2 linked regions of the Bombyx mori genome follow. The protein of the gene in region 1 interacts with the protein of each later gene in a biochemical or structural test. Links are inferred from orthologs where the notes say so. Each region holds a gene or a part of one and is shown in the gene's direction. Other genes may lie near its edges.

Evidence for each region.
Region 2: the proteins of mediator of RNA polymerase II transcription subunit 23 (region 1) and sterol regulatory element-binding protein 1 form a complex in vitro, tested with the Homo sapiens proteins (2 studies listed by BioGRID). The link is inferred for Bombyx mori from reciprocal best matches to the Homo sapiens genes MED23 and SREBF1.

What each region holds. Positions count from the first base shown.
Region 1 is NC_085107.1:8,842,294-8,846,683, reverse strand, and holds the start of mediator of RNA polymerase II transcription subunit 23, read left to right. Parts: upstream 1-1,482; 5' UTR 1,483-2,163; coding exon 2,164-2,286; intron 2,287-4,390. UniProt on the Homo sapiens protein: Required for transcriptional activation subsequent to the assembly of the pre-initiation complex. Component of the Mediator complex, a coactivator involved in the regulated transcription of nearly all RNA polymerase II-dependent genes.
Region 2 is NC_085119.1:8,261,869-8,265,531, reverse strand, and holds part of sterol regulatory element-binding protein 1, read left to right. Parts: coding exon 1-50; intron 51-931; coding exon 932-1,168; intron 1,169-3,663.

The sequences.
Region 1 (4,390 bases):
TTTTTAAGTACAGAAATCTTGACAAAAGTACCATTATTATCAGAATGCCACTGGGTCACGTTTACTCACCTGTTCAACTGTTCAAATTCAAACTAAGAAATACAGCAATATGCAACTGTGAATCCGAGGAAGGTACTGTGGATCATATATCCTTCAACTGTATCCTTAACAATAAGTGTGATCCTCTATATACTTTATCAACAAACATAATCCCCCTCCCCATCAACATGAACTTCCTATTAACTTTCCCCACTAAAACGGTAGTCTACTTGCTTGGATCTTTCATAAACGCTAATAGTATAAAATTGTAGTTCCTACTAACTGTTTAATGCAAAAAAAATTAAACTAAATAGGTCTTAGCATAATTATGTTGAGATATAGCACTAGCTGCGTGTCGCCGCACTAGTAATGTTGACTTGTTACCATGGATACATTCTCTACTTAATAAGATTGTGTCATGTGAATAAAATATAATTTGTGATATTAAAAAACCGAGTCTGCTTATTCTTCCACATAAAATCTTAACAAATTATGTTGATACCTCCACTACCCGACGTTGGCAAAGTTGTATTTAAATCTAAGTAACAAAAGCCAGAAAGAAAGAAAAAGAAAACTATTTAAGTCAACTAAATAGTGACGTTGCACCGACACATGTGTAATATATTTATTAAATAATCTTCTGATGATATGTGCTATAAACAAGGATTTTCTCCGTATAACATAAGAAGCTTTAAAATTTGATCGTCAGATAATTTCTTCACCATTTTTAAGTAATTTATTCGCCCCAGTAATCCGCAAAAACAACCAACACGTGCTTACTGTGTCAGCACTGGAATGGCACTGGATCCAGGTGCACTGGATTGGTCGCACTGAATTCAAAAGTAGACCGCCAATCCAGTTACTGGACTGGAATGCTAACTGGATTCAGTGCATCCAGTGCCAGTTTACATTTTTCCAGTAAGCAATCCAGTGCTGGATTCGATCACTGGACTGGAATAGTGTAAACCGGGAATTATTTTATACAAAGAGTAAAGTTCAAACTTTTTTTTAAGGGATTTTATGACCCGGTGACTAAGACTTTTAAGTCATGTCTTATTTTAATTTTTTTTTTGAATTCTTATTTTTATGAAAAATAATGAAATGAAATGAAGATTATTTGTTTGAGACATGAATCAACTTGGATGAAATCAAATGAAGTGAGATGAGATGATATGGGATGAAATATAATCTCAGTAAAATGGTGCTAATTTACTGAGATTTTTTCAGTGGACTTTTTAGATGATCCCAAGAAGTAACGTCCAGCGGCTTTGTTTCATTTTCCCACATTTGTGCACTTTCATAGATATTAAACAGTTAATAAACCACCATTATTACATATTTAAACCCGAAGAAACACTAAATAGACAAAATAAAACAAATGACACAACTTCACTCCTCGCGTTCCCGCCAAAAAGTCCATTTCAAACTTTATTGTCCATTTTTTTTTTTTTTAAGAGATTTTATGACCTGGTAACTAAGACCTTTAAGTCATGTCTTATATTCTTAATTTTATGAAAAATGATAATATGGAGTGAAATGAAATGAAGATGATTAATTTGAAACATTAATCAACTGGGATGAAATTAAATGAAATGAGATGATATGGGATGAAATATAATCGCAGTAAAATGGTGGTCATTTACTGAGATTTTTTCAGTGGACTTTTTGGAGGAACCCGAGAAGTTACGTCCAGCAGCTTTGTTTCATTTTCCCACATTTGTGCACTTTCACAGATATTAAACAGTTAATAAACCACCGTTATTACACATTTAAACCTGAAGAAACACTAAATAGACAAAATAAAACAAATCACACAACTTCACTCCTCGCGTTCCCGCCAAAAAGTCCTTTATTGTCCAGTGTCCACATTTAGCATAGATTATTCAATGCATTTAGTCATTTATTAAATTTCGCGTAGTGATGGTTTAAGTATCCCAGTTTTTACTTGTTAACGTTGGCATGTAAATTTAAGAAGAACATAATTCCTAACAGCTGCATTTGTAATTAAAATTTCTTTCTTGAGTTAACTTCTTCCGTCAAAGATCTTATACATAATTATTATTCTGAAAGACATGTACCGATAACTTTGTAACCTTTCGGTGTTTTGTTGAAAGCGTAGTTTGGATGCTCCAGTGCTTAGCTAGTTTTTTGTATAAAGGTGACCGTCAATCCAAGCGCATGTTCGAGGAAAATATAATCACGGAAATGGCCGATTCGCAAGTCGCCAACATAGTGAATGAAATATTGGTAAATATATTTTTCTTGGTTAATAATATATTGGTAAATATAAAGGTAAACGTTCTACTGTGCCCTGCATCTGTGAAAATAATAGGTACTGACAAAAAAATTACTCACATGATCATCTACATTAATTATGAACAAAATGTTGTTTACTATTGTTTGTTTTTCATGAATAAAACCTACAAATAATCGAACTTGTTTCTTAGTTGCAAACATGGACTCATGAGCTGATGGTAAGTTGTACTTCGAGATCAGAGGTTTTATGAATAAAAATTAATTTCATCTCATTCATTACGCGCTGAATATGTACTGTTCTGCGTTTATTAATATTTGTGTCCACGTGCTTATTGTATGTAGCTGGCTTGATGTGAAGGTTGATTGCTTCATTTATGTTTAGGTTTAAAGCATCTAGCGTGTTTACAATGTGTAATAAATTTAGTCTAACATGGAACGTAAGGACTAAGTATCAAATGAATAAAAAAGCAATTATGTTATGAAAATAACAGAATATTTCAAATTTCATTAAAACTATGGAATTGTCAACTCTATTTTACTGTTGCCAAGTTAACCTTATGCATTTGTTTCAGTTTTTAAGATAAATTAATATCTCAAATATTTGTTTTATTCTGAATTAAACTTTGACCGATGGGCTAGATTTATCACAGAATGTAAATTGTACATAGCACTGTAGCAAATGATAAAATTTGTAAAGGGATTAAACTAGAAACCTTGTTTTTTAATCAACTAAGACATCTTAAAGTATAAAACTATTGATAAATAAAATTTGCAGTGTCAGAACACCAAACTGTGAATTGGCAGCAATATTAAATAAAACATATTAATAGTACATTCAGTATATTGAAATAATATTTAAAATGCTGTTTGAAAATCTTTTACAAACTTCTTACAATAAAAAAACAATGAATGAGAATATTAAAATAGCTTTTTTAAATTACTCAGTTTAGAATTTTTAGTCTTATTTAATATTTAAGCATAATTTGCATTATGAACACATTTTCGTTTTTGCAAATTTTGTATATTCTTGAAACCTCTGATGTTCTTGAAATATTTTATGTGCTTATAATTGATGTATATGTTTGTGTTATGTAAGTGTTGTATACAGTTTTCATAAAAGTACTGAAAAATGTAAACAATTCTAAATTAGTGATCATCCTTGTTAACCTTCATGAAATAACATAAATTTAAAAAGGTCAATTATTTTAATTCAGCAGTAAAAAAATTTAAATATATTTGTTGTTTCCTTAATTGGTAACAAAAATTATCTAACTTATTTTTATATATATTGTTTACAGTTATCTGCACGTTTATTTAAACAGTACTTGTCTTGTCTCAAAACTTGCAGCTTTTTACTGATAAAAACTGTAAATCAATAAAAAATGTAACAATATTTTACAAACAGTATTAAGTAACTATTATAAATACATAAATAGATAAATTTACCAAACACATAAATAGATTATATAAATACATAAATAAATTACCTATTTTCATTCTTACTGTTATCAAATTCAAACATTAAAATTACTGGTCATAATTTAAGTCAATTTTGGGTCCTTTCATTTACCAACAATTTTCAATTATTTTAGAAGTGTGATTAAGAAATTTGCATCTGGGCATTATAATATCTTCCCATACTGTGTCCCCTACATTATTAGAGATTGGCAACAATTAAAGTTCTCCTATATGCTCAAGAGACAAATGGAAATTAATTACAGTAACTAAAGCGCTCATTTCTCCATTGTTGTGTCCTTAGTGAAAATAGCCTTTATAGATATTTTAATTATGTTACATTACATATTAACATACATAATCACTCGAGTTGTGAATTTATAGAATAACAGTGGAAAAAATAAGACACTTCCATATAATGAAATTGGAAAAGGGGTTTAAGATCAATATCAGCTGTATGTGACTTGGTGATTTGGGACACATGTGTTCTACTACCATCTCAGATACAAGCCCCTCTAATGTTCCTGCTTCTGATGATTAGAGGCTTTTGGGTGTCAATCTGGAGGAAATTACATCCACTCTGGTGATATAGAATGAACTTGATATTATAACTTATTTCAAGGGTGGATGTTTATCTCTT
Region 2 (3,663 bases), on another chromosome or scaffold:
CCGTTCGGTGGCTTCCTTGCACGACGCGCCGGAGATCTGTGGAGGGACAGGTGAAAAGAAAAATTTCAGCAAATCTATATCTATACTAATATTATAAAGAGGAAAGATTTGTTTGTTTGTTTGTATTGAATAGGCTCCGAAACTACTGAACCGATTTGAAAAATTCTTTCACTGTTTGAAAGCTACACTATTCCCGAGTGATGGAGGCTATAAACTTTTATGAAAAAATTAGGGATCCTTACTAAAACTCCAATAATGTAACCGAAGGTGTAAAAAAATTACCTAAAATATTTTTTACATGGCGTGCCCTGCGAAAACTATTGATGATAGAATAAAATAATGTACTACGCCTTTGTAGAACACATTATTATTATTTACAAAAAGTGTCGCGACAGCATATCTATAGCTATTAAAGTTATTCCGCAATAAGTGTTCTATAATTTTTAAAAATAAAACAACGTCAAATGTCGTTGAAATTTTTGTTAAATACCCGAGCGGAGCCGAAGCGGGCCGCTACATAATATAATTATTATTGTACGCGCGGAACTAGTTAGCCGCGCCTTAGGTATGTGAGCGGTGAGACGGAGAGGCAGGGGCGCTAAAACTGATGCAAATATACATAAATTAGTAGTAGAACCAACAGGGATATCAGAACGAAGTGTAAGGAGAGTGATTGCTGAAAGTAAAAGTTAGATAGGTACAATATAATTTTCTAAAAGTTCCATTGCGATTTATTTATTCTTTTCAATAATTGAACAATTATTGTTCACGATATCTCGAGATTGATAATCACTGTCTAATCTCTTGTGCGTTGCGAGTAATATGCAACCCGCCCCCTCACCCCTGTCGCCACCTAAGGCGCGGCCAACTTGTTCCGGGCGCACTATAATAACATAATTTTTCGATTACTGATAATTGCAATATATTTTAGTCCAACAAGACGAGCTACGTTGCACTGGGCAACGGAGGTTTCTTCTGTTTCGCATCAACTAGCCCAGCTGGAGATCCTGTCGGATCACAGAGGGCGCAGCGAACGATTGTTGCTAGCGCTCCAAGCGATTAATTTGGCTGAGGTCGCCGGGAACAGACAATTACTGGCCGACACGTACGTCACGGCGGCTTTAGTCTTTAAAGATTATATGCCTAAGATCGGAAACTGGTTGTGCGGGTAAGTATCACGAAAAAATTTATTAAAGCTTTTAAAATGTTGTATTTTTTCATCAACATCAGCATCAATGAAAATGGCGTTTAAATTGTTTCACGCATTCTAGGTATCGGTGTTTACAAATAGATCAACATTTTCTGTCAATATATTTTGCGGCCTACACTAAATCTAGGGCAATACCTTTCCATTGTTTTAAGACTGTTTTCTTCTTTATATATCAACTACTCAAATTATTTCAAAAACTAAGTTATTTACAAGCTTTTAAAATGTATTATATTTTTTCATCAACATCATCATCAACGAAAATGTCATTTAAAATGTTTCACGCATTCTAGGAATCGGTGTTTACCAATAGATCAACATTTTCTATCAGTCTATTTTGCGGCCTACACTAAATCCAGGTCAATACGATCCCATAAGATGTTCAGAACCTACATATACATAGGTTTATGAAAACTATGAAAGAACATCTGTGCAATAAAGCTTACTATAAAGTCAATGATTATCTATAAGATTGCACAAAGTGGGAATGAGTTGCTTGCTCTGGGCATTTAAATATTGCAATAATTGTTACGGCCTGGCCACGGGAATCGGCGGTGCGAACAGCGAAGCGGTGGACGAGGCGACCATTCGCGCAGCACCGTTTGCAGGCCACGGGTACTCACGTTCGCCGCCGCGACTAGTAACAGCCTGGCCACGGGACATTCGCCGATGCGAATATTCGCGCGGTGCGAACGGCGAAGCGTCTAGCGACTAAAACAAGCGCATAGAAATGTACCTAACAAGCCACGCGCACCGGCGACCGGCGAAGCGACCGGCGAAATGTACCGAGCGAATCGCGCGATGCGGCGGGCGAGCAAAACAAATGCATGAATACGGACGGCGCGAGCCACGGAGTCGAGCGGTAGTCGCGGCGAATAGTGCAGTGATTAAATGAGTTTAGTTGTTTTCGCCGCGAAAAATTAACGCCAAAATTTTTATATTTTTTATTTATTTTTTATTTTATATTTTTAAAGTCGTCGTGGCCTAACGGACGTCCGGTGCAATCGTGTTGAGCGATGCACCGGTGTTCGAATATCAGGCGGGTACCAATTTTTGTAATGAAATACGTACTCAACAACACTCAACGTTCACGATTGATTTCCACGGTGAAGGAATAACATCGTGTGATAAAAATGAAATCTTCAAAATAATAATTTGCGTAATTACTGGTGGTAGGACCTCTTGTGAGTCTACACGGGTGGGTACTACCACCCTGCCTATTTCTGCCGTGAAGTAGTAATGCGTTTCGGTTTGAAGGGTGAGGCAGCCATTATAACTATACTTGAGACCTTAGAACTTATATCTCAAGGTGGGTGGCGCATTTACGTTGTGGATGTCTATGGGCTCCAGTAACCACTTAACACAAGGTGGGCTGTGAGCTCGTCCACCCATCTAAGTAATAAAAAAATAAAATAGCTGAAATACTAGCTAGACCAGCTATTTGGAAGTCTAGCCACCCAAAGTATTTCTCGTACTTCTTGTGGAATTCTCCATCTATAGGTATACTCCGATTCTTATTCAAATCATGTACTTCACAATCTTTTCCAAATAATAGGTCCTGAACCAAAAAACTATTAATTTGTAAGCAATATCGAGATAATTTCGATATAGACATTTCGCTGTCGGACTTCCTTACTAGTCGCGGCGGCGAACGGGAGAACCCGTGGCCTGCAAACGGTGCTGCGCGAATGGTCGCCTCGCCCACCGCTTCGCTGTTCGCACCGCCGATCCCCGTGGCCAGGCCGTAAGGAAGTCCGACAGCGAAATGTCTATATCGAAATTATCTCGATATTGCTTACAAATTAATAGTTTTTTGGTTCAGGACCTATTATTTGGAAAAGATTGTGAAGTACATGATTTGAATAAGAATCAGAGTATACCTATAGATGGAGAATTCCACAAGAAGTACGAGAAATACTTTGGGTGGCTAGACTTCCAAATAGCTGGTCTAGCTAGTATCTCAGCTATATTTTTTTTATTGCTTAGATGGGTGGATGAGCTCACAGTCCACCTTGTGTTAAGTGGTTACTGAAGCCCATAGACATCCACAACGTAAATGCGCCACCCACCTTGAGATATAAGTTCTAAGGTCTCAAGTATAGTTACAATGACTGCCCCACCCTTCAAACCGAAACGCATTACTACTTCACGGCAGAAACAGGCAGGGTGGTGGTACCCACCCGCGCGGACTCACAAGAAGTCCTACCCCCAGTAATTACGCAAATTATAATTTTGAGGGTTTCATTTTTATTACACGATGTTATTCCTTCACCGTGGAAATCAATCGTAAACATTAAAATTTGTTGAGTACGTATTTCATTACAAAAATTGGTACCCGCCTGATATTCGACTACCGGTGCATCGCTCAACACCGGACGTCTTATCCGTTCGGCCACGACGAGTTTAAAAATATTAAAAAAATAATAATAAAAAATATAAAATATAAAAATTTCGGC